4 separate regions of the Mus musculus genome follow, and regions 1, 2 and 3 are each reported to be linked to region 4. The links are microRNA targets in miRTarBase. Many come from high-throughput screens and were not tested one by one. Region 4 holds a microRNA gene; each other region holds the end of a gene's coding sequence.

Evidence for each region. Region 4 holds the annotated microRNA mmu-miR-384-3p (AUUCCUAGAAAUUGUUCACAAU, at 2,858-2,879, opposite strand). A microRNA usually pairs through its seed, bases 2 to 8, with sites in the 3' UTR of a target mRNA and lowers its output. Matches are read on the target gene's strand: a 7mer-m8 pairs with bases 2 to 8, a 7mer-A1 pairs with bases 2 to 7 and ends in A, and an 8mer does both.
Region 1: the mRNA of Hk2 is a reported target of mmu-miR-384-3p. Seed matches in the 3' UTR shown: 8mer at 2,751-2,758.
Region 2: miRTarBase lists Syt13 as a target of mmu-miR-384-3p. Seed matches in the 3' UTR shown: 7mer-m8 at 1,700-1,706 and 7mer-m8 at 2,393-2,399.
Region 3: miRTarBase lists Pbld1 as a target of mmu-miR-384-3p. Seed matches in the 3' UTR shown: 8mer at 2,284-2,291 and 8mer at 2,490-2,497.

What each region holds. Positions count from the first base shown.
Region 1 is chr6:82,722,595-82,728,782 of GRCm38, forward strand. Hk2 (hexokinase 2) reads right to left here. Exons shown (of 18, transcript NM_013820.3): 17 at 6,118-6,188; 18 at 2,431-4,860. The coding sequence ends at 4,716. Among named protein-coding and RNA genes, the nearest start is that of Gm32480, 10 kb to the left of the region's middle.
Region 2 is chr2:92,952,432-92,958,619 of GRCm38, forward strand. It overlaps Syt13 (synaptotagmin XIII), which reads left to right. Exons shown (of 6, transcript NM_030725.4): 6 at 932-3,620. The coding sequence ends at 1,236. Among named protein-coding and RNA genes, the nearest start is that of Gm13791, 36 kb to the left of the region's middle.
Region 3 is chr10:63,075,059-63,081,246 of GRCm38, forward strand. It overlaps Pbld1 (phenazine biosynthesis-like protein domain containing 1), which reads left to right. Exons shown (of 9, transcript NM_026701.3): 8 at 3-65; 9 at 1,291-2,902. The coding sequence ends at 1,403. Among named protein-coding and RNA genes, the nearest start is that of Pbld1, 17 kb to the left of the region's middle.
Region 4 is chrX:105,341,435-105,347,622 of GRCm38, forward strand. It overlaps Mir384 (microRNA 384), which reads right to left and starts at 2,935; the gene lies at 2,848-2,935.

The sequences.
Region 1 (6,188 bases), not on the chromosome of region 4:
GTTTTCTTCTGGCCTCCCCATGTACGTACACACACACACACACACACACACACACACGATAGATAGATAGATAGATAGATAGATAGATAGATAGATAGAGATAGATAGATAGAAATATGTAAACAAACCCTGCTTTGAGAGAGGACACAAGACTCTAGCCAACTATGTTTTGTGTGTTTTTATTAAAGCATCACAGAGAGCTAAGGATCTATCATTTAGTTTAGAGCACACAGCATTTTCAGGCCCCTGTATTTCATCCATGTCCTTAGAAAAGGAAATAAAGAAAACCAGAGACGGCACGAAACAATGTATGCCTCATCCAGACTCGTACAGAAACGAGGTGGCGTCAAGCAGGGTGCTCAGACTGCCGATGGTGAGGGAAGAACAAAAGAGACATGGCTCAGAGGGAAATTGGAAAACAGAAAAGCAAAAGCGGATTGTGCAAAGGCTAGAAAATGCTCTCAACACCGGAGTGCCTGTGTTCCAGCCTGTGGCACCTGGGGCCCAGCCGAAGAAAACAAAACAGGGAGACAGGCTGCCTGGGGTTTGGCTGGGAAACTGCTTTCCAAGCTGGGAGCAGTGTGAGTGCAGTCTGCTTGCTTGGAGGAAACTAATTTTTCCTTGGGAGGATGGGGAGTCAGCCTAGGAAAGAGATACACGTGCTATCCGGGACATTGAGGGCCTCACCGCAGGTAAATGTACCCTAAATCGCACTAAAATATTCCCTGCTAGTCCAATGTTAGGGTCTGTGCGGAGCTGTCTGTGCCCCAGCCCCATCCATGGGACATAACGAATGTAGCTTTTCCATCCCGCTGCCAGAGGCCAAAGTGACCTGGGGAAAGAGGTGCCCACACTGTGCTGAGCAGTATGGCTGATGTTACAGACAGGAACAAGCCAGCTGCAAAACTCAAGAGGCCCAGAGTGGGGAATCTGTAAGAATCTGCTTTGAGGCAGAAAAGCCAAAGAGGCCTCTAAGCTGGGGGGTGGTGGCACATGCCTGGAATTCCAGCGCCTGGAGGCAGGAGAGTCACTTCAAGGCCATCCTCATATACTTAAGTCAGTGGAATGAGCTTTAGAAAGCCAGGCTGGAAGGGAAAACAAAGGACCCACGTGTGCACCAAGAAACGCAGTCCCGCTTGATCATGGACTCAGATTCAGTGTAGGATAAAACTGGACCTCCATGTGTGAGTGGATGTGTGTGTTGTGTAGATCAGAGGACAACTTGTGAGAAACCAATCCTCCCCTTCTGTGGTGGGCTCCAGGGATCAAATCAGATTTGCATATCAAGTTCCTTTATGCTCTTAACTATCTTGCCAATCTTATCACTTTTTTAAGGCAGTGTTTTCTGAAATGTAAAGGCTAGAAAAGTCCCAGACATGCACTCACGGGTGCATGTGAGAAAGTGAAAGGATGGGCTTGGCTGTTTTTCCTCAGCTGTCCACCTTGTTTCTCAAGACATGGTCTCTTATGGCCTGGAACCTGTTGGGTAAGCTAGGCTTGCAGACCAGTGACCTCCAGGGATCCACCTGCCTCAGCCTCCCCAGCCCTGGGATCACAAGGGCAGACCGTCTGGACCTAGTCTCACCGTCCTGCTCCTGTCACTTCTTTAGCTTGTAGTGGCTCCTACCTGTAGCTCCAAGTTCTTGGAAGGATAAAGAGGCCTGCCAGGTTTATGACCAGCCTGATCTACATAGCAAGATGCGGGTCAGCCTGGGGGTACATAGTGAGCCTGTCTCACAAAAGGACTGTCTATAAATGCATCCTCACAGGAGGGTTAAGAGTGCAAGACCAAAGAGCGCAGAGCATGCTGGGCTACAAGGGGTTCAAGTCTACACACTGAGCAACCCAGTGTTTTATACTCAAAAAAGTATAAAACAAGTGTGGTCAGGTGTGGTGGCACATGCCTGTAACCCCAGCATATGGAAGGCTAAAACTGGTCCAGGAGTCTGAGGCCAATCTGGGCTACATGAGACCCCATCTGAAAGTGGTGTTGGGAGAACCAGGGGTGAAGTCCACTGAACAGGTGGCCCTGGGTTCAAGGCTCAACACTAGTCCCATTCTCTCTCTCCCATCTCATGAGTATTTGGTCCCCGGTTAGTGCTGCTGTTTGGAGGGGCTTAGGGGGTGTGCCTTTGTTGGAGGAATGTGTCACTGGGAGCTGCAGAGGGTTTAAGGACTCACACCACTCTGTCTTTACTGCTTGAGGCTCAGCTTCTGCTCTCAGCATCTGATCGTTCACGGCGCTTATCTCCGCCATAGAAAGCAATCACAGGATCCGACCCCCACAGGCTTCAGAATTCCAGAATCCGTCTCCACGGACACTGAAAGATAACAGGCCACTCCAAATGTATCGACCCCATCAGTGATTGATCAGACTGACCAGGAAGTCCTAACTTGCCCCACTTAAAAGATCCAATCACACACTGAATATTTTGAAAAAAAAAAGTTAAAATTTATTAATAATAGTTAACATCACATGGTTAATTCAACTAGTTCTCTACTGTACATGATGACAAAACGCTCACTAGACCGAGTGCCCAGGGATATGAGATGAGTCAAAGGTTCACTGAAGATCACACAAAGCAGCATTAGCAGAGAGAGCTGTCAACCTAGTGCTGGCAGTAGCCAGCCTAGTACTAGGAACACAGCACACTGTCTCATGCTCTGGATTGAAAGCCAACTTCCTTAAAAGTTAGACACACACACACACACACACACATACACACACACCCCTTTTTAAAAAAAAGTCCTTTCCTAGATGGTGCTTGATTTTAAAGTTTAAAATTCAAGATTCGAAAATTTAGTCAGAATCCATTTGTACTCCGTGGCTACCCTCTAGTGCTGCACACATCTATAGGTGGCTACCCCCTAGTGCTGCACACATCTATAGGTGGCTTCGGCTTTCAGTGGTCTGCTTCGGTAACTGCAGGTTGAGGGAGCTACACCAGACAGGCAGTATCAGGCAGGAATCACTCGACCTTCCCTCTGGGCATCCCGGGAGGACCTGGGCAGCCTTCATTTCACTGTACACCAGCTTGTTCGGTTGTAACTAGGCTCTGCTCAGCACAAGTCTGAAAGATGTTCAAAACATGGCTGCCACGATGCTGAGCTTTCTCTTGGTCTTTCTCTTTTGACCCCCGTATCTTGTTTATTAGTGTTACAAGGCTGTTTCCTCTTTATTAAACCTATCCAGGTTTAACATTGGTGGTCAATTTAATATTTTGAAGGGAGAAGTGAACTTTTGAATTCAGAGCGAACCGTGTTGGTAGAGCAGAGAACAGGACATTGGTGTCTTCCCGTTCTTCAAACAGTCTGGAATAAATAACTCGTATAAAAAGGCTAGTCGGCAGCTCGATGCAGCTCAGTCCAAGGAAGCAGACAGACAGCGTGCATCTCGTGTAAAACACGAGACACACCGGAGGTGGGATCTGCTAGGAGGGCAAATAAATGTACAAACACCCCGAGACGCCCCTGAGGTTTGGTCGAGTTCTCTCGATGCTTCATGTGGTCTGCTCCAACGATCTGATGTGACTTTAAAAACATTTTCGCTGGCTTCCTGTAACTTGTCAAACCATTCTGAAACGCCGACTGACCTAAAAATCACATCTTCTATGCAGTGAGAACTTGAAACAAATCCTTTGGTTTTCTTTGCCTAACATCCCGGGTGAGACCTCACTCAGGAAAGCTTCTGGACGGAGCAGCCAGGTGTTGTGGCTTCTTTCCCTCAGCGAACCACCCTGTCTCCATCCCTGCCTCGCATACACCTCACGGAGCAGAGGAAGGTGAAGCCCGGAGGCTGGTGGCGCTCTGCCCATCACTCACCAAGAGATTCCGAGTCTCTCTTCTTCCCGCGGGTGAATGAGGTATTTCTAGAGCCAGTCAGTGTCTCCACCTCATATCCTGAACTACAATGATCTATCTACTCACAAGGCCGAGTCAGAGGAGACCCTGGCCAGCTATATACAGAACAAAGGAACATATAAATACATTACTTACATAATTAACCATTACACAATGAAGGAGAGGACCTGCTTCAAACTAAATAAATTTCAAACATAAATTAAAAAAAAAAAAAAAAAAGAAATTGAAAAGCTACCAAAGCCACCCCTAGCCCCAAGGTCTGCTGCTCATAGATGACCCGTTCAGCCGTGTGAGGTAAAGCCACAGACACTTGAAGGGGGTGTCGAGTCTAGCTTTGGTTTGGGTTCCTCTATTCCAGGACAGCAAATGTTTAGAACCAGCAGGGTGATGCCTACAGGTTGAGCTGAAGAGGGACAGCCATGTAGGCCAGGGGACGTTCCATACTGCTCCTCCTCCTCCTCCTCTTCCTCCTCCTCCTCCCTCCCTCCCAATGCCTGATCTGATGACAGAAGTATCAACATTTCAAGATGTTCTCCACCTATAAATGTCGCATTCAGCTCCAAGATGAGGCAACCATATTCGCAAGACTGTCCCCATCCCATAGGACTGTACAGGAAGTAGAACAGGGGAGGGAACATGCCAGGAAGTGACCAGCAGGAACAACTTGTGAACAATTCCTTACTTCTGATTCTCAGGAAGGCCAAGGATTGGGTATCAAACTCTACAGTGAATATCGGGACAAAAGTCCCAGTCTCTCGGGGTCCTCTCTGCCAAGGAAATGCCAAGAGGTCCATCTCCTCATAATTTAAAACAGGGAAGTGAGGAAGCAGGGAAGTCCCGTCTGCTCCAAGGTTCTATCTCTGCCCGGCCTCCCGGATGCGACAGGCCACAGCAGTGATGAGAGCCGCTCCCTTCCCACTGCCGTCCTCGGATTCCAGGAAGGACACGTCACATTTCGGAGCCAGATCTCTCACCGTCTCATGCATGACTTTGGCAAAGCTGGAAAGATAGAAAAAGGGGATGTGAGTGGCTGGTGTCCTCAAGCAAAGCTTGGAATGAGGAATGAGACGTGGAGCACGGCACCTACAAACTAACAAACAGACAGGCTTGCAGGGGCTAGGACCACACCCAAGCCTTATACCACACCACAGTGGCCAATCGCAAGAGTAGAAACCTCAAGTTTTGGCACAAATGTCTTGAGATGCTGGTGAATTTTCTTCAAAACAAATCAGTTGGTCTGGGGATGTACCTCAGTTGATAATACTTGCCTAGCAGCATAAGTGAGGACCTTGGGTTCACCCCCCGCCCTGCCCTCCCGCCCCAGCATCTACCGAGCACCGTAGCCCACCCATGTCTGTAATCCCAGCAAACAAGAAGCAGGGGAATCAAAAGCTCAAGGTTACCCTTGGCTACATAGCAAGGATGTGCTATGTTGTTAAAGGCCAGTGTGGGATACAAGAGACTCTAGTTTAAAAAACAAAGCAAGGGGTGGGATAGATGGCTCAACACCGGCTCAACACCGAGAAGTACAAAACCCCTTCCTTGCAGGGGACCAAGATTCAGTTGCCAGCCCCTACATGGTGTTCACACAAACAATGTTCACAATACCCTGCAACTCCAGCTCCAGAAAACCCAATGCCATCTTCTGCCCTCCGTAGGCACTGTACCCGTGTCCACGACTTCCCTACCCCCCCACACCTCTACCAAATAATTCAAGTAACCTTTAAAGGGAAACTTTGGGCTAGAGAGATGGCTCTGCGGTTAAGAGCATCTATTGTTCTTTCAGGAGCCAAGTTTGATCGCCAGTAACAGGTCAGGCTGCTCACAACTGACCAGTGCCAGGCAATCAGGCTGCAAGGGTACCATCACTCTTGTGTAATACCCACCACAGAGACGAAAACATATCAAAACGACTAGGCATCACATCATTACAGAAACATCAGTGATACGATCACTGAGAAATACGATCTCTGGTAGTAGTGAACTCCCGTGGTCCCACCCCAAGAGACAGATGATTTGGAATCAGCTACATAATGAATTCAAGGCTATCTTGGCTCAAAACCAAAAGAGTTGTGATCCAGCCTTGAAATTAGCTAACTACACCTGCACAGAAACTCTCAAGCCAGCAAAAGGGTCATCACCACTAATCTAGAAACTAAGCACTAAACCCTCTTTGGAGTGGCTGAGAGAAGGGCGAGAAGAGAAATATACAAGGAGAAGAAGGAAGACAGGACAGCCCCAAGGTCAGGCACTCACTGAGGATGAAGCTTGTACAGTGTCCCGTCCACGCCCACCGTCACTTTGAGGTTGTCCAGTCCACGGTTCTC
Region 2 (6,188 bases), not on the chromosome of region 4:
CCAGGACCATCTTAACGATAAAACATAGGCTTGACTGGACAATGGAGAAGCTAAAGGTGGAGAGAGCTTTTGTCTGGTCTGATTTGATAGCAAACTAGAGGACATTTAAGCCCTTGCCCCTGACTTGGTTTGTCAAGTCACTTAGAAAGGGCTATGGTCAAAGTGGTTCCCCAGAGGCCATCTGACATGCTCAGGTCTGAGCCACCCACTGACCTCATATGTTCTGTGACAGGCTAATGTAATCTCTAACGTGAAAATCTAATAAATGCCAACTTCTGGAATCTCCTGACCACTAGTGGAGAACTCTACTCCATGAACACTTGGTTTTATGTTGTATAAAAGTATCTTTAGGCTGGGTGTGTAAGAGGCACACGAAAGCATAGGGGTGCAGGCCTGGAATCCCAGCTTCTGTGAAGGCAGGAAGAACTCAAGACCAGGGTTGCCTGGGCTGCAGAGGAAGTTTGTGACCAACTGTAGTGACTTGGTATAACCCTGTCACCAAAGAAAAAGAGAAAAGAAGACTGGAGATTTGGCTCAGGGCTAGAATGCTTGCTTAGTATATGTAAAGTCCGAGGTTCAAGGCAAAAATGAATATTAAATGAATGTTATGCTTACACTTGAGACCCAATTCCAATTTGCATAATATATGCAAATATCCCCTAGTCTGTAAAACACACCAAATCTGAAATGTTTATGGTTCCAAACCTTACAGAGATAGGTATTCATCCTGTATGGCCAGTCTTCCACATTCTAATGCAAGGGTTAGACACGCATCTTTGTCTGTTTTGCTATCTCTAGACCGGTTCCTGACGTCTGGTAGATACTTAATACTGTTGAGAGAATGCACGGTCCAGTGGAGATGTAGGAAACCCCAAGAAGAAGCAGCTCACTTGCTCCCCTACAACTTTCTTTTCTCTGTACCCCTCCCTAGATGTGTCTGTCAAGGTGACCTTGAAACACCAGGCTCAGAAGCTGAAGAAGAAACAGACAAAACGGGCCAAGCACAAGATCAACCCCGTGTGGAACGAGATGATCATGTTTGAGCTACCGGATGACTTGCTGCGGGCATCCAGTGTGGAGCTGGAGGTGCTGGGCCAGGGCGAGGAGGGGCCGAGCTGCGAGCTGGGCCACTGCAGCCTAGGCCTGCATGCCTCGGGCTCTGAGCGCAGCCACTGGGAGGAGATGCTAAAAAACCCACGCCGGCAGATCGCCATGTGGCACCAACTGCACCTGTAGTCGGCCACCTGCCACCGGCCACTGACCGTCTTTCTTGGACACAGTCATCTTCCAGGCTCAGCTGTCAGTCATCCCTCGTGCTCTGTCCACATGCCTATACCCAAAGACAGATGCAGACGTGTTGGCTGAGGCCAAGACCTCATTCCTCTCTTACTGTATTCCCAATACTAAAAAGTGAGCGGTGGCGCCAGGACAGTGAGTGGGACTGGCACTCAGAAGACTGTATCATGCTCATCTGTGTTATGGAAAAAGATATGTGCCAGGTACCCTCAGTCGGCAGCCCCTGCTCACATTGAGCTGAAGCAGTGGTTCTTAACCTGTGTATCACAACCCTCTATCTCCAAAAAATATTTACATTATGATTCATAACAGTAGCAAAATTACAGTTACAAAGTAGCAATGAGAACAATTCTGTGGTTGGAGATCACCAAAACACAAGAAACTTTCTTATAGGGTCACAGCACTAGGAAGGTTGAGAATCACTGGCTGGCCAGCAGGTCTCTGGGCCACTGGGGGGTCATGCCACACTGATGTTCCGGTGGAATACACAAGCCTCTGTCCTTAGCTAGCACAGGGGTTCTGGAGCAGAGCAGGAGGGGCTGCGCTTGATAAGATCCCTTCTCCCCTATCCAGGCAGCCTTTCCTCTTGATCTCCGGGGGCCCAGCACCAGGACAGTGTGAAGGCAGGAACTCTCTGCTTACTTTATTTCTTCTTTTTTATATTTCTGCTGTTCATATTCCACTCTCGAGCTACATTGTGTGTTTTGACTGTTTTATTTAAGGGATTGGAGTGGGTTGTGTTTGTTTTTTTTTTATCACACGTAGAGTGCCCGTTCCCTGGCAGGCCTAGGTTGCCACTCCTCTGGAGTGTCTGCGGCATTCTGAGGACAGCTGTCATGTCACCCCCCCCCACCCCCAAGCTGACTCCATGTGACAGACCTGTTCTTCTCAGTATGCCTGTACTTCAGGACGAAGTAGCTCTGAGCTTGGCTTGTTCCATCTGGCTATGTAAATGAGGAGGTAGATGAACTTTAAAGAGAAAACGTGGTCTCTTGATAACATGCCTCCCTCCAGTTTGGGGGACATGTCCTTTAACTTGGAAATAACAAAAAGCTAGGTTTGATTGCCCCTGTTGATATTTCCAATAGATGCCCCACTAGGAATCAAATAAGTAGCTAGCTGCAGGGGTAGATACTTGTGAGCCGGAATTCGAGTTGTCATTACTTCCTTGCTCCACAGCGCCTCAGTGTGGCCACCTATAGCACAGCACCAATGTCATGGGAGCTTGCCAGTCCAGCTTCAGGAGGTAAGCAAGAGGCATCTTAGCGGGCATCAATTGTTACTGGTCAGTTGGTGGCACTTCCTGGCTCCTCCGTTGGCTGTGCTTCTTCTCCAAAACCTCCTCTGTAAATTGCTCAGAGATGTTAGACTGGGAACCAAAAACTTTCAGTCACCTTTTACATCGGCTTAATCTGTTTCCAGCCATTCCTGTAAGTCACCTCCGAATCAGCTTGGGAAGGAACCTCTCTATGTCTTTGCCAGGGAGTGATTTCTGGAAAGAGGTGGAAATAAAGTGAGAGGCCATTCCAGGCTGGGCTACTGCTGGGAGGTTAGGAGTTCACCCCAGTCCTCTGTGAATCCTCTCCCCAGGACAACTAGGCATCTATTTGTTGAGTGTTTGTCCACCAAGACCGTGCATGTGTCTGTCCATTCTGATTAGAGAAGGCTCTGGGGGCGAGTGAGTAGCTTATCACCTTAACGGAAACATCAGATAAGAGGAGTCCGGGACTGCTGTTCAGGCGGGCAGCTCTCAGATGTAAAGGGGCCCCGGGGGAAGGGGCAGTGTCTGGCCTGAACTGAGGTGGGAATCTTTGGAGGAGAAAGTTGGTCCTGTGCAGTGTTTCTACCCTTGCTGTTTCCTGTTGTTAGATGCTGCGTGTTTGTGATGCCATTCCACATAAAAGCACAAAAAGTCGCATGAGACATCGTGGTCACATGTCTGGTTACACTTTGGAGCACAAAATCTTACAGTGGTAAATAAATCGTTTTCCAATCGGGTTGGCAGCCCAGTGTTTCTCTTTGTTCCTTTACATTAATATTTTAGATGTATAAAATTCAGAAAAAAAATCTCGTGTATCAAACACCCATGAACCTCTGCCAACTTCAATAAACCTTGACGACCACAGTTGAATTTTCTTCTTGTGCCCTATACTGAGAAGACCAGGATCTTACATTCTGATTTGTTATTCTGAGCCTTCCTTTATATTTTTACTAAATGATCATTTGATCCCTGAGCACTAGTGAGTATTTGTGTGTTTCCAAGTTTTACTTCAATTCTTAAATTGCATCACACATTTTTTTTCAACATTAAAAATTTAAGCTTTATGCAGACATGTGGCTCTAACTAACTTCTCTTTCACAACTGTATAATATTCCACTGTATGGATCTGCCACAGCCCATTCTATTGATGTACATTTAAAACACACACACTCTCTCTCTCTCTCTCTCTCTCTCTCTCTCTCTCTCTCTCTCTCCCTCTCTCTCTCTGCCGTTGTTTCCCATGTACATGTATCGTCTCTTGGGGGAAATGTCGAAAAGTGAGTGGAGCTGCTAGGAAAAATAGAAAGAAGCGTGTGCATGTGTGTGTCTGTGTGTGGGGAAATGTTTGTGAGTGTAGGTGTGTGGGTGTGGGTGTTTGTGGGGGAGTGTGTTTGTGTGTGTGTGTGTGTTTGTGTGTGTGTGTGTGTGTTTTGGAGCTTTGACTTCATTCCTGGTAAGGAATATCCAGTGGGTTCTTGAGACTCTTCAAGACTCCCCCCAGCACCCCATCAGTGGAGGATCGAGGAAACAGAGGACAGACAGAGGCAATGGCCTCCTGGAATTCTGCCACCCTAAGCTACCCAGGTGACCCATCTCAGATCTGGCCTCTGAAGGAGGTGTCTTGAGAGTAAGAAAAGGATATTTGATTTTTATTTGAAGGGTTCACTTTATCTTATTTCTGAGACAGGGTCTTTCTCTATATTCCTGGCTGTCCTGGAAAACTCTGTGTAGACCAGACCGGCCTTAAAAATCACAGCTATTTGCCCACTTCTCCCCGAGTGTTGTGATTAAAGAGATGTGTCATCATGGCCGATCAAATTGGAAGGTTCTTAACCAGGAAAGACATCCTGTCAGTCATATGATATTTTCACATTCAGTCCTCACTTTTATACTTCCTATTCCCATTATTACGTCTTAATGGCAACTGGGGGCATTTGTATTTCTGTAATAAGATGGGCTAAGTGGACTTTATTCTACACAGCCAAATAGTATTCACTATAATTCACAGGTAACTGAAGACAGCTCACTGGAGCCCCAAACTAATGTTTGCTATGGCTATCTATAAAAGAGAAACGGTGGGGGTTACTGAATCAAGGGCTTTCCAGTGAAGTGACCTCAACAACAAATCATGCTCACCTCAGCCTGGAGCTGAGTCAGAGCCATGACCATGTAACACTATGTGGTAACTGTCCCTGGCCACTATTAGATCCCCAAGCTAGGTAACTGCCTCTGCACCTAAGCGCTCATATCTATACAATTATTTTGGACTAAATGACCTGCAAGCCCCTTCCAGCTTTAACATTTTTGTATTTCTGCTTCTTAGGGCCATTGCTATGATGAAACAACATGACCAAAAGCAACTTAGGGAGAAAAGGGTTTATATTTGGCTTACATATCGCACACATCACAGTCCATTGAGGGAAGCCAAGGCAGGAATTCAAACAGGGCAGGAACCTGGAGGCAGGAGCTGATGAGAAGGCCATGGAGGGGTATTACTTACTGGCTTCGTCCCCATGGCTTGCTCACCCTGCTTTCTCATAGAAAGAAGGGCTAGTGTCAGGAGTGGCACCTCTCACGATGGCCTGGCCATCTCCCATCAATCACTAAGAGAGAAAATTCCCTACAGGCAGCCTTGCAGACTGATCTCATGGAGTCGTTGTTCTCAACTGAGGTTTCCTCCTCTCAGATAGATGCCTTTTAGCTGTGCCAAATTGGCATAAAACTAGCCAGCACAGCCTGGTAACAATTTGGTTCTCACAGATCTTTAGTTTACTGTCTCCTGTAGAAATTAAAGGAAACCTGCTCTCTCTGCCCAGCACTGGATAAAGCTTTGGCATCTGCTACAGTTCCTCTGAAGGCTACTGATGCTCCCCTGAGCATGGCACCTGAGGCTCTGAGAACTGAGTCTCATCTGTGTCTGACTGCTGCTGGGCACTTGTATTTTTGCACCCAAGAGTTCTTACATTTTAGAGCTAGTTGGATGCCACCATTTGGGCAATACCCTTTGGAGCACATCCATCTCCCTCCAGAGCAGACATCTGCCGGGAATATAATCAAGAGATGGAAAGGTTGGGTGCTAACTTTGTGCTGAAGAATGTTCCTCCCCACCCCCACCCCTGAATGCCCCTTGCAAGTGAGTCAGCACAAATGGTACCTGATACTGGGGAACTGTGTAACTAACTTATAATCACCAGATGTAATTGTCATCTAGGAGGCTTACTGTTGAATAAGTTCACCCTTTCTAGTTCTTTCTGAGCTCTGGTTTGCTGGTTCAACTCAGATGTTCTGGCTCAAAATGCCTCTCCAAGCTGGCTGATTCAAACTGGCTTCTCTCAGCTTCTTGCTGAATTGTTCTGCTTGGGAAACCTGCCTCTAAACTCCATGAACTGAACAGACGTGAACAAAACTCAACTGGACTGCCCTCCATTCTCAACTGCCCTGCTTTTAGGTAGCTCACTTTCCTGTCTGTCCTCATGAGAGTTGGGTGCATCCTATCCCTGACTCATTCTGTCAGATCTTTCTCTGATTCGTCACTTCGTCTGCCTCTCAATTAGATGTCATTTTCAAACATGGCTGCTTTCCTACAAACCAACCTTACCTTTATTGTTAGGGATCAAAGATGTGTACTAAC
Region 3 (6,188 bases), not on the chromosome of region 4:
AGGATCTGCACACACCGTTCTCAGCAGTTACTGGTCCCAGCAGCTCAGGAAGAAAGAGATGCGAGGTAGGATGATTCCTCCTCTCTCATTGGATGCTTGGGTGTTAAATTCAAGGCTTTGCAAATGTTCGACCATAGAGCCATAGCCTCATCCCTTAACTTTTGGGAACAAGATCTTGCTATGTGGACCAGGTTGACCTCAAATTTGCATATACCTCCTGAGGGCTGGGATTGTACAATACTATACCCAGCTCAAATACCTCCTGAGGGCTGGGATTGTGCAATACTATACCCAGCTCAAATACCTCCTGAGGGCTGGGATTGTGCAATACTATACCCAGCTCAAATACCTCCTGAGGGCTGGGATTGTGCACTACTATACCCAGTTCAAATACCTCCTGAGGGCTGGGATTATGCAATATTATGCCCAGCTCAAATCTCTTCTTTGCCTCATTTTAGGCTTGTATCTATTCTCATATGCATTAGCTTCTTAAAAATGTAGTAAGAGGTGGTTGGTAGTAGCTCACATCTTTAATTCCAGCACTCAGAGGCAGGCGGATCTCTGAACTCTTGGCCAGCTTGATCTACAGAGTGTGGTCCAGGACAACCAGAGCTACACAGTGAAACCCTGTCTTGAAAAAAGCAAACCAGGGGTTGGGGATTTAGCTCAGCGGTAGAGTGCTTGCCTACCACTTGGTCCTCGGCTCTGGAAAAAAAAAAAAAAAGAAAACCAAAACAAAAAAATACTAAGATATTATGACTCATGTGAAATTTCCCTGTAACATCTCCCCTTCAATGATCTCCCACTCCCAGCCCTCTTCACCCCTGCCTCCCCAAACACAAATAAGTGCTTAATAAGTGCTTGATGAGTATAATTAGCTTACTATGTAACTTTTGAGAAGGACAACCCCTTTTCTCTCCTTTGGGTGAGTATAATGACTTTCTGAGCCCCTGGAAGACTAGGGCTGTGCCTCTTTTGTGACCTGGCACATACAACTGCTTTAATATGCAATGAAGAAACAAACTCACTCTATTCATATCAGAGCTGAAGGTGGGACCTTCTCAGAGGCCCAGGAAGGAAGGTCCGGCAGTGTGTGTGCCACTGTGTGTGGAACTCTGGGGCTGCAGGAGAATGGGGTGGAGGTGGGAGGGGCCGCGGACACAGGGAGGGGGGCATTTATCCTGGAAAGTGGCCTGGGAGGCGTCTTGGGTTTGTTATAGTCAACCCTGCCCTGGGTGGTAAATCCCAGGGGAAATGCTCTTGATTGGCACCAGGTTGTGTTCTCCTCAGCCTTTCAGTGTTCCCGCCGAGGAGGGGAGCTGGACATTTCCCTGCGACCTGATGGGCGCGTTGACATAAAGGGCGGAGCTGTTATTGTCTTGGAGGGCACGCTGACCGCCTAGAGATGCTCCTGCTGGGCTTGGGGCCACTGTTCCACAAGTGTCTTCTCTAGAGCCCAGAACCCGACCCAACCCAACTCAACAGCAGATGCACAGAGCTTGGTTCAGTCGTCGTGTGAACCCAAAAGGGAAGACACCTGATGGAGGTGCGGTAGTGTCTCCAGAATCCTTTCCCGATGGTGGGCTCTGAACTCTGCCTGTGTGTGCATCTTCAGTCCCCACAGCAGATAGGGATGCTGCCCCTTCTTTTGATCATGACTGCCAATCAAAGTGAGAGGTGCACTGATAAGGAGCCAGAGAATGCCATTTCAATTGAGGTATGGGTACCTTAGGGCATTTCACAGCCCTTTAGAAGAATAAATAGGTGTGTAGAATGTTGTGTTGCCAAAAAACATTTTCTCTCCGCCCCCTAAGGTTCCAAAGACCAACCAAGGCACACCACCACCAAAGCTCCCCTAGGGCACCAATGAGTTATCAGACTTCTTTACAGAGCAGAGGTGAAGGTTTCCTTACAGCGGTGTGGGTTCCATCCCCTAAAATGTGGCACCAGAAGGGCTTTTACATAGCATCAATGGTGACCTTCCTATAGTGGCACAGATGGAGCCCAGCTCCCCTAATCTCTGCTGGCCTGTGTCCTCCAGCCTCTTTGAGGCCATGTGCAATTAGGGCAATGTTGCATACATAGGAGGTAGTGAGTGGCTGGGTTCTCAGAGGAGGCCCCGTGATCTCCCCATCCCTCTATGAGGAGATGTAAACAGTCGCCAGACCCAGCTGGCATGATCTTTGGCAAGTGCGCACAGCTGAACTCCTGAAGATGGAAGTTGCTTGGCTCAGGGTATGGTCCTGAGCAACATGCAAAAGTCCATCTCCTGATGTAATAATACTAGGAAAGATGAGGGGGCTGGTGAGATGGCTCAGTGGGTAAGAGCACCCGACTGCTCTTCCGAAGGTCCGAAGTTCAAATCCCAGCAACCACATGGTGGCTCACAACCATCTGTAACATGATCTGACTCCCTCTTCTGGAGTGTCTGAAGACAGCTACAGTGTACTTACATATAATAAATAAATAAATCTTTAAAAAAAAAAATACTAGGAAAGATGAGTAGACTGAAAACTGTTGGAGGCTGTGCTGCAGGGCTGGGGTACGTAGGACCGTATGGGCTGTGAGGTCAGCAAAATGAAACAGTTCATGCTGGGGGACAACGTAGAGTAATTTCAATGAGCTAAAAAAAAAAGAGTTGGGGGCTTGCTGAGTGGCTGAAACGCTTGCTGCCAAGGCTGACACCCTGAGTTCGAATCCTGGGACCCATATGGTAGAAGCAGAGATCCAACTCCTACATGCTGTCCTCTGACCTACGTACACATAGGTGCTATAGCATGCACACATCCACACCTATACATGCATACCCCAAACAAATAAATGTAATAAAAATAATTTTCTTTTTTTTTTCACTTTATATGTTGGATGTCATCTGTTGTAATTATTAAAAAACAATCTACTCTGTCTCCGGCTACTCTCCAGCCACGGTGGTCTCCCCTCCCCCATGGCTATCCCCAACTTCCCCGAGGCTCGCTCGGCTCGCTTGCTGCTGAACTGCTCAAATTCCCAATCATCTGTCCCTTGTGGCTAGTCTCTAACCCCCCCCCCCCCAGCCACGAATAAAGAAAACTCTTTATTCGTGCTTGTAATTGATCAGTCAGATTTATAACAGTAAATTCTCAACCCCCAAAATGCCCACTCAAAGAACTCAAAACGCGAGTTATTGATACAAGCTGCCCACCTTGATTGGACCAATTGCCTTATCTTACTCTACGGCTCTTCTGTGCTATCCATAGCTACCTGTGGCCATTTCAAGCCACGTGGATCTAGCTCATCTACCTCTCCTATAGGTTCCATCTTGTCTCCTTGTCTCTGTCTGTCTCTCTGTTTCTCTGCAAAACTCTCAGCCCACCTTCTTTTTCCACTGTCCAATCACAGAATCTAGCCTTATATTTTACTTGCCCTCATCTGCGTATAGACAACAATCTACACTAAAACTTAGGAGAATCTCAGAAAATGAACAGAAGAAAGGATGCCTTTGTGTGGGCTGGGGGTGGTCCAGCAAGTAAAGCCCTTGCCGCTTTGGATACCTGTAATCCACACAATGACAAGTGGCTGGAGTCCCCACATTCATTTGTCAAGATGAAAGAATCCACCTCTCACTGACCCCTATCCTTCCGTCCCCATTCACCACCCCTCCCCACCTACCTCGAAACTCCCAGGCCAACTAGTTTGGCATAGAAGGTACAGTGGCAAACACCTAGAGAGGCTCAGCCTCAAACAAGGTGGTAAGTGAGACCGAGGACTGTGGAAACTCACTGCCATTCTGTCAGGCACAGGGGTGCACACCCCTAATCCCAGCACTAGTCGGGCAGAGGCGGGAGGATCAGAATTTTAAGGCCTGTTGCAGCTATGCAGCCAGTGAATTTGAAGTCAGCACGAGCTTCCGGAGACCCAGTTTCAAATGCCAAAAACTACACCAAACCGGTTAGAATCTATAGAAAGGACTCGGGAATCCCAGAAATCGTAAGTCATCCCTAGCACAAGAGAAAGGGGAGGGGGCTCCTGGAGAGCGATCCCTCCATCAGCATCAGCACCATGTGGGAACTTGCTAGAAAAGCAAAATCACTGTTCCAGATCACCTGTGTCTGGAGCGCTGCGGTCTGGGGCTGATACTTTGACTTTTAACAAGATCTCTAGGTGAGGGGTTAGTTTGAGACCCACCTTGCCCTGGGCCTTCCAGATGTATCAGCCATTTACACGGCTCCCAGGACAGTCACCTCTGATGACATCTAAGCTCAGAAGATCCCTGACTGCACCATATACCTGCTGCTTAAAAGCATACTTCCTAGGAGTTGGTTTACTGTCAGCTTCCAGCGGGGCCTGGCTTGGAGACATTAGCTGTGCTCAGGTGGGAGCTGTTGGGTAAAGTGTTAGCAACAAATAGATAGTTAAGCAGCCATGACTTATTCATGATGAGTTCATTATACCTGGCCGTGCACCTCCGCTAGCTAAATGGAGCTTTAAAGGAGTTACTTTATTAATTGTCATGGTGCTAACTGCAGACACAGAAGGATCGCTAATTAAACATGCAAACCGTATGCAGCACGTTTTGGGTTGCTGAGGCCACGGAAAACCTATCTTTTTTTTTTTTTTTTTAAAGGGGGAACCAAAACAAACTTTATTTTATGCAATATTAAGGAGTTCCCTTGGCAATGCTAATTAATCACAGTGATGCCCTCCAGCAGGAATAGACTCCATACACCAATATATGTACAGTGGTCTGGCTAGGCTCTGTTAAGAGGGAACATGTTTGGTCTTGCACTACAATTTGTTTATGTTTTCTTCTGTTGTGATTGACCTCCCTGGCTTCCAATTTTGGGCTAGGTATACATTTGGTGTTGGTGGGATGGCTCAGTGGAGTGGTTTCCGTGCAGTCGTGAGGGATGGAATTTGGGTCCCAGCACCCATGGAACAAACTGGGAATGCCACAAATATTTGTATCTCCAGCTCTGAGGGATCCAACATCTTTTGGCCTCTGTCTGCACAGGTCTGTGCAACCAGTGTATGCATATACTCACACAGACACATAACTAAATAAAAAGAAATCTTGAAGAGTTTGGTGGAACTACGCTTGTATCTGTCTTTTTAGACCTCCACACTTCTTACTGTGGGCCCTACACCTTAGAGTAGAGAGACCAAGCAGTGGCTTTAACCGATTCAATATAGACACGGCCAAATGGCTTTTATGGTAGGCGAAAGGGCTGGGTACGTAGCTCAGTTGGTAGAGTTCCAGCTTAGCATGCATGATACCCTGTGTTATAACTCTAGTAGCCCATAAAATGTGGTGGTACACACCTGTTATCCCAGCCCTCTGGAAGCTGAGGCAGGGGGATCAGGAATGTAAACTCACCCTTGGCTATGTAATGAATCGGAGGTCAGTGTTGGGTGCATAAGACCCCATCTTAAAACATAATCATAATAGTAAAATGCAAAGAGGGCCGAGGAAGGAACTCAGTGCACAGTTTGAGGCCCTGGGTTCAATCCCTAGTAGAGAAGAAATAAAAGGAAGACACTCTACCTCATCTCTGGCCTCTACACTAGAGTGCATGCCTGAACAGAAATACATATAACATGAAGAATTTCTGGGTTTTCTTTTACACACTTGATTTAAAAACAAACAAATAACAACAACAACGAACTGTCTAACTGGAACTGCTTCACAGGAACTGCTTGCCCAATAACTGCTTGCTGGAGCGCCATCCTCTTCAGTCATTGGCTGTCCTGGTGATGCTCTTGTGGACTGCCTTCTCCATCCCATCACCTTTACACCAGCACACCGTATACCTACAATAACTCCACAGTGTACACACTGTGAGATATAAATAAAATGAGTAAATTCATTAAATAAAATTAAAATAAATAGATTAAGAGCTGGTGAGACAGCTCAGCAGATGAAGGCATTATCCTGTGAGATATCACGGTATAGTTACTGTCGACTTGCACTTGAGGGCGAAAGCCCTTTACAGTCCTGTTGGAAATTTGATTTCAATTCCATGGATCTTAGAGAAGAGCTGGGAGGGCGTAGCGGTATTTTGTCTCTGAGTTCATGACCATGGCTTAGTCTTCCCTCTTGTTCGTCTTCTTTTCCATTTACATTGGCAACATTTTACAATTTTCGTGTAAGAGTCTTACACTACTTTCATTAGAAATATTCCCAGGTTTATGACTCTTTTTCAGGTTTATGG
Region 4 (6,188 bases):
GAACATACTCTAACTTTTGTCTTATCCCCAAGTAATATCTTGAAATAATTGCAGAGAGAATCTAATTCATTGGCTATATTTTACAAGACACACCACAACAGATCTTAGCCATGCATCTCAAAAGCTTCAGGTGTTGATCTTGCTTTGTCTTACCTACCAGTCAGAGAGCACTAGAAGACAACAGGCCTGCCATATATACAGTGCTAGCCTTTTGGTAAAACCATGCATAACATTTTGTTAACCCTGATTCATTCCTCCATAGCCAAGAAGTTCTTCACCCTGCCAAATCCACAGCTTTCTTGGATGCTAGCATGGGCCAGTTCCCTTCAGCTGGTCTTCCCAGCTGGACTTTGATTAGGAATTCAGTAATACTCAATCATGCTACAGTAATTTCTCGTGACTCATCCTTCTAATGACACATCAGAAGGGATGAGCCTCTGGTAAAAAGCCTTGGAGTATTTACTTTAACATGCTTATCCTTACTGATCCTGTAAGTAATCTACCCACATCCCAAAGTTAACATTCCCATCTTTTTGGCATCATCTGGCAGTGCTACCTTTTCATTTTCAGGGAGAAAAGGAATGACAGTATATTGTTCCATGGTTTTGAACAGGCTCAGAAGGAAAGAAATCTACAGCTCATGGCAAAGAGGTATAGGGAAACTGCAGGCAGAAGATTGCAGTCCCTGTCAATATGACATAAGCAAGGTATATTTGAAGGTTCAAATTAGGGACAGAGGTGTGGCAAGTAGAAAAAAAATGCCTAAAGATATAAAAGAATGTTCCATCACTTTTTTGCATGTCAGACAGCCCAAGAAACAGCTTTGTCTTTGGAAGCTAAATTTCTGCCTCAAATATTTTTGCTTAATTCCAAAATGCTTGTTCTACATATCAAACCTCATGTATGGTTCAAAGAGTATAGCAGCATGACTGGAGAGATTCCCTATGAAACATCAAGGACTGTGAAGATGAAGGTCCAGGTCTTTCATTCTGAGTTCAAGATGAAACACAAAACCTTCAAAATGTAAAGTTGGGTTGCCTGAACAATAACATAATGTTCAGTAGTGAGCCAGTGTTTATATTCTACTCGAAGCTGTTAAACCCACACTTGTACTTGTGGGGGTGGAGCATCTCCTGTAATCCAAGCATTGGCAGAATCTGAGGAGTAAAGGTAAAAAGATCAGCAGTACACAGAGATGTTGAAAAATCTGTCTAATCATACCTTTAAGAAATATAGCAAAGAACTTCTGTATTTGTCTTTCTGACAAGGCCTCCTCTTTTTAGACTTCCCTTACCTGCTGCATTGTATGATACAATCCTTCCACTATGTCTCCCACTATGGGTATTTTTGTTGTCCCTCTTCATTTCTTCTATTATTTTTATTTTCTGGACCAATATGTTATTCCTAAGGCACAGTAACAAAGCACTTAAGCTATGCCTGCCTATACAAGACACTCCAAAAACATCCATTCCTTTTACTTGCAACTTAGTGAATGTTATCTACAGTCTTTATCTTCCTATTGTCATACCCAATGCTGACTGTTCAATGGGTAGGAGACACTGAAGTGAATAAGCATATGTTTTCCCAAGGACAGCTAATTTCAAATAGCCTACCTAAATTTTCAGAAGATATATTCTAATTTTTGGTTAGAAAATATGGTCACCATAAGTGTAAGGCATTCTTGAAAATTACACAGTACATAGATCATTGCAATTCAGTTTGAAAGGCAAAATGGACTTAAGTGAATAGAAGCATTAAAAGAAGATACACCAGAGAGGACCAAAACAACTAGATGGACTTTGACAGACAGAAATGCGTTGGGCCTTGGGAAATGGGTCATGTCTGAATACAGTAGGGATGAGACTGGGGTTGAGTGTCATCATCTAACCAAACTGAGGACCATTTAAAATATTGCTCAGCTGTATATTACTATATCAGCCAATGTATACCAGTACAGATGCTGAAATCAATTGTCAAAAGACTTTGTCCATACTTTTGATATTTCTTGATCCAAAGCCCGCATAGCCAGCTCATTTCTTGGCTTCATCTGAGTGGGCTGCCAGGATGGTCCATTTCCACTAGTCAAATAGAAGTCAAGGGAATCCACTTAACTGTCTACATGCAAAGAAACCCAACCAGTGGCTTGATATGATCATAACACTCAAGGCCAAAACTCATTCAAAACTCATTCAACATTTTGTTTTCATTTCTAAATTGATTTAAGAAAAGATACAACCCACAGCTATGCTGATATAAACCAGTAGGCAGATCATTTCAAAATAGTAAATGAAAATAGATAACTATAAATAGTAATCAAGTATACATATTAAATAATGACTATGCAAACATCAACATATTAACATATAAGTGAACAGGGTAAGGTAAAAAATCATGACAGTAAGGTTGATAGATATTATTGTTTCTTTCCCATGACTTATGGAATTAGAATATCAAAATTTGTTTGGAAGTGAGGTTGGAGAAAGGCAATGAAGCTTTAGTTAAAGCTTTTGTAAAGGAGTAAGAAAGTTTAGGGCTTTGGCTCACCTAAGAAGTACAATTGCCTTTGCTCCTAATTATTGATTTTTTTATTTCTAATGCCTCTTAAAATTAGCATGTCTAAAACCCTGCATCACCAAAGTACTATCAAATAATGCAGATACCCTTGGGAACTATGGAAATCAAGTAGTAGTGCTATTATCAGAATTATTAACACCTAGACACATTAACAAATAAATAAGTAGAATTGATTACAAAAACAAATGTCATGATCCAGAGATGTTCTAGGAATGTACAGTTAGCTTCTTGAAGGCTTCCTATGTATTTCAGGAATCTTGCTAGCTGAATATATGTTACAGGCATTGTGAACAATTTCTAGGAATGACTTACCAACATTATACACATTGCCTAGGAATTGTTTACAATTCCTGATTTAACATTCCGCTGCAAGAGAAATAACCAGTTAACTTAAATTTGATCATACACTGGCTTCAAAGCAGAAGGCAGCATTTCTGCAGGCCTGCCATGTAATGGGAAGATTGACTTTTACATAAAACTTAGACAATGGCTAAGTAGCTGGGCTGTTCACGTTGAAGAGTCACATGCAGAAGACAATGCATCAACTGACTGAAGAAAAATGCCAAGGAAAATTCCTTTCATTATTTTTAAAGTGAATTAATTTTACAGCAATCACAAATCCAAACATATAATGCATAAATATTTCAAAAATGAATTAAAATATGTAAGTCTACATTTCTTTCTTTGCACTATTTTTGAACAAATTGCCTACTAGCTATTTTTATTTTTAAATAGATTAGGATCTGTACACTCAAGATATGTACTGAACTGTCTGAAGCAGTCCCCCTGAAAATGTGTTCTGATGTTGCCATTGTTCAGAATAGTTTTAAAATGCTGCTTTGAGAACTAACTGCCTTCCGAGCCAGTTTATGAGTGAGACAGTAACAAAATCACATTGTTTTCTTATCACATTTTAAAACTTAGCTATACAGCATAGTAACTACACAATTTGATTCAACCAGGTTCATCAAAGAAATCAAAAATCCAGCCACATTGTTCCTAAAGCCCTGTCCCAGGCCACCCCGAGAACCTTTACTTAGGCTGGATGCGAGACAGTCTTTCATTCTCCACCCAAGCACCCTAAAGTCATGTCCAGTTTTTGAAAAGTACTGGCTAACATTTGTTTCAAAAATCTAGACTAAACTTTTCCAGTGAACTTTCATGATACACTGTGTTTGTCCAGATGAGGCAGCTAGACTGTAAGCTTCATGACAGCAGTTCACTGCCTTATTCCTAGCACCTATAGCCATGTTTTGGATGTTGTCATTGCTTAACAATATCTGTTGAATGGTAAATGGATGGTTGTAGGGGAGGTGATGATGGATGTATGGATAGATGGATAAAGTTCACTAAAGAGTTATTACAGATATATCTTGGGATATTGTTCTGTAATAGAGTACTTGCCTAGCATATACAAGTTCCTGGGGTCATATCTCCAACATAATAAAATAGATACCACGACAAAGTTGATGGTTATATAGAAAGTTTCCCTTCTAGGAGTGAGCCCAGGATATCACTGTTGGTCAGTAGCTAAAAATGATTCTGGTGGTGGTTATAGCATACACCTGGATTGTGAGCTGGTTCGCTGATAAGAATTAGAAGTTATTGCCTTGCCTGTTTTGGACCAGTTGCTCATACACATTCCAGTCACAGACTATCCTCTTATACAGGTCAACTTGCCAGCAAACAAGTGCCACGGGGTTTTACTTTCAAGAGGATCCAGTGATCCATTATCTAAAGTGATTTCAACTAGGTTATACAGCAAACTAATGAAGGATAGTAGAGCTTTGGTCTGAGATGAGGAAAATAAACTACAAGAACTCTGTACTGTTCTCATTCTTTTCCTTTCAATCCAGAATTATAATCCTGTGATCTTCTTTCTCAGCATGCTTACCTTCTCTATAAGCTAGAAAAACAAAGCTGAGGCCCTCTCCAGCTCATCATCTAACTTGGCAATAGATCCTGTTTCCTGTCTTAGTGGCAGCAGTGGCAGCAGTGCTAATAGTATAAAAGTAGTAGTAATAATAAACATTAAAGCTCTGCTGGTGATAGAGTTGATAGTGGTGCTATACTTGCTGAGTGCTCAATACATGGTATACACTCTCTTTAAATGCAGTTTTTAGTTCTCTTGACAAAACAATAGAGTTAGCCCTGTTGCTATTAGTTTTGTAGTTTAACAAAGTGAGACTATGATAGGTTAACACACAAAGCCAGTCAGGGGTCAAAGCCTTTGCCTGCCTTACTTTTGTGCCAGAGAGTGAATCACAATAGCATGTTGCCTCTTGGTATTATGTTCTGCCCTCTGACACATCCTCCCATGGCGGACAATAAAGATGTAAAAGAAAGTTAAACATACACCCTCGTTCAAACCTTAAAGTGATTTGGTCCTGCCTTATTGTATTTGATAATAGTAGCTGCAAAGCAACCCATTCCTAGAGCCCTAACATCTGTTTTAAGACCTTGAGCGGGTATGTTTTTCTGGAATATCCCTTCAGAAATGTTTTTTTGAACATTTGTTCAAACAAGCTAAAGTCTGGACACCCTCTGATGCCTTTCTCAATTGGTTATGCGCCAAGTACGACATGATCTTCTGCATGTGGTTTGAGTTAGGTGGAAGTGTTGCACATGCCTGGGATACTGGGCAAGCCCACTAGAGCTGCCCCTAGACACAGACAAGCCTGACTCCAGCAGACTCACTGAGAAGATGGCAGAGCTGTAGTGACTGGGATGGGAACACCAGTTGGACAGGTCACCCCATAACCCTCATTAAGCTAGACCATTTGTATTCTAAGTATTCTTTCCCCCTTTGCCTGCATATTTAATTGTGTTTGGGATGGGTTCCAAAATACCTAGTGAACTTCCCAAGCCTTATGACTTGAGAGTTTCAGGAGCTCTGAGCCTGAAGCAAGCACTAGGCTAGTTGCTACAGTCTGGCTTTCCTGTTGCAAACCACATGAGCTCTACCTGCTGTGCCATGAGATCATGAGGGAATTGATCAATGCCTCCTCGTGCACATAACTGGTAGGGACTATAATCCCAGACAGTTTTACAACTTTGGCAGGATGGAGGTACACACTGAGGATAGATTGAATGTCACCTCTTGGCCTGGGTTTGTGGAAGATGGCTGAAGAGCCCATCCGCAAAGCTGCCACATGGCCAAGTCCATGTGAGTGATGGAAACACAGCTATGGGAAGAGTCCAAGGCCAGTAATGAGGGAGAAGACACTCAAACCTACGGGGAATCCCTGAGTCCCCAACATCTGTGAGAAAGATCAGATGAGGCTCTGGGGTAAAAAACAAAAGAAAGCACTTAGCAGTTCTAAGTGTTCACAGAAAGAAATGAAGAATACAAGTCTGCCATGGGCATGGGAGAACTCAGGTGTCAGACCTGCTTGAACATTCAAGTTCAGAGGTACAGTATTTCCTTAAGCCAGTATGAGCTCCTGAAATTGCCTCCAAATATTCTTGAAAAACAACCCCTTCTTCCCTCCTTTTAAAGTAAGATGCATATGTACTGCTGAAAACTAACATCATCTCTCCATACACTTAGCCTAGCAACTGGGAGAAAAGAATGCTAGTGGTTACATGGGATTCTGTGTTTTAATTGACTAGGG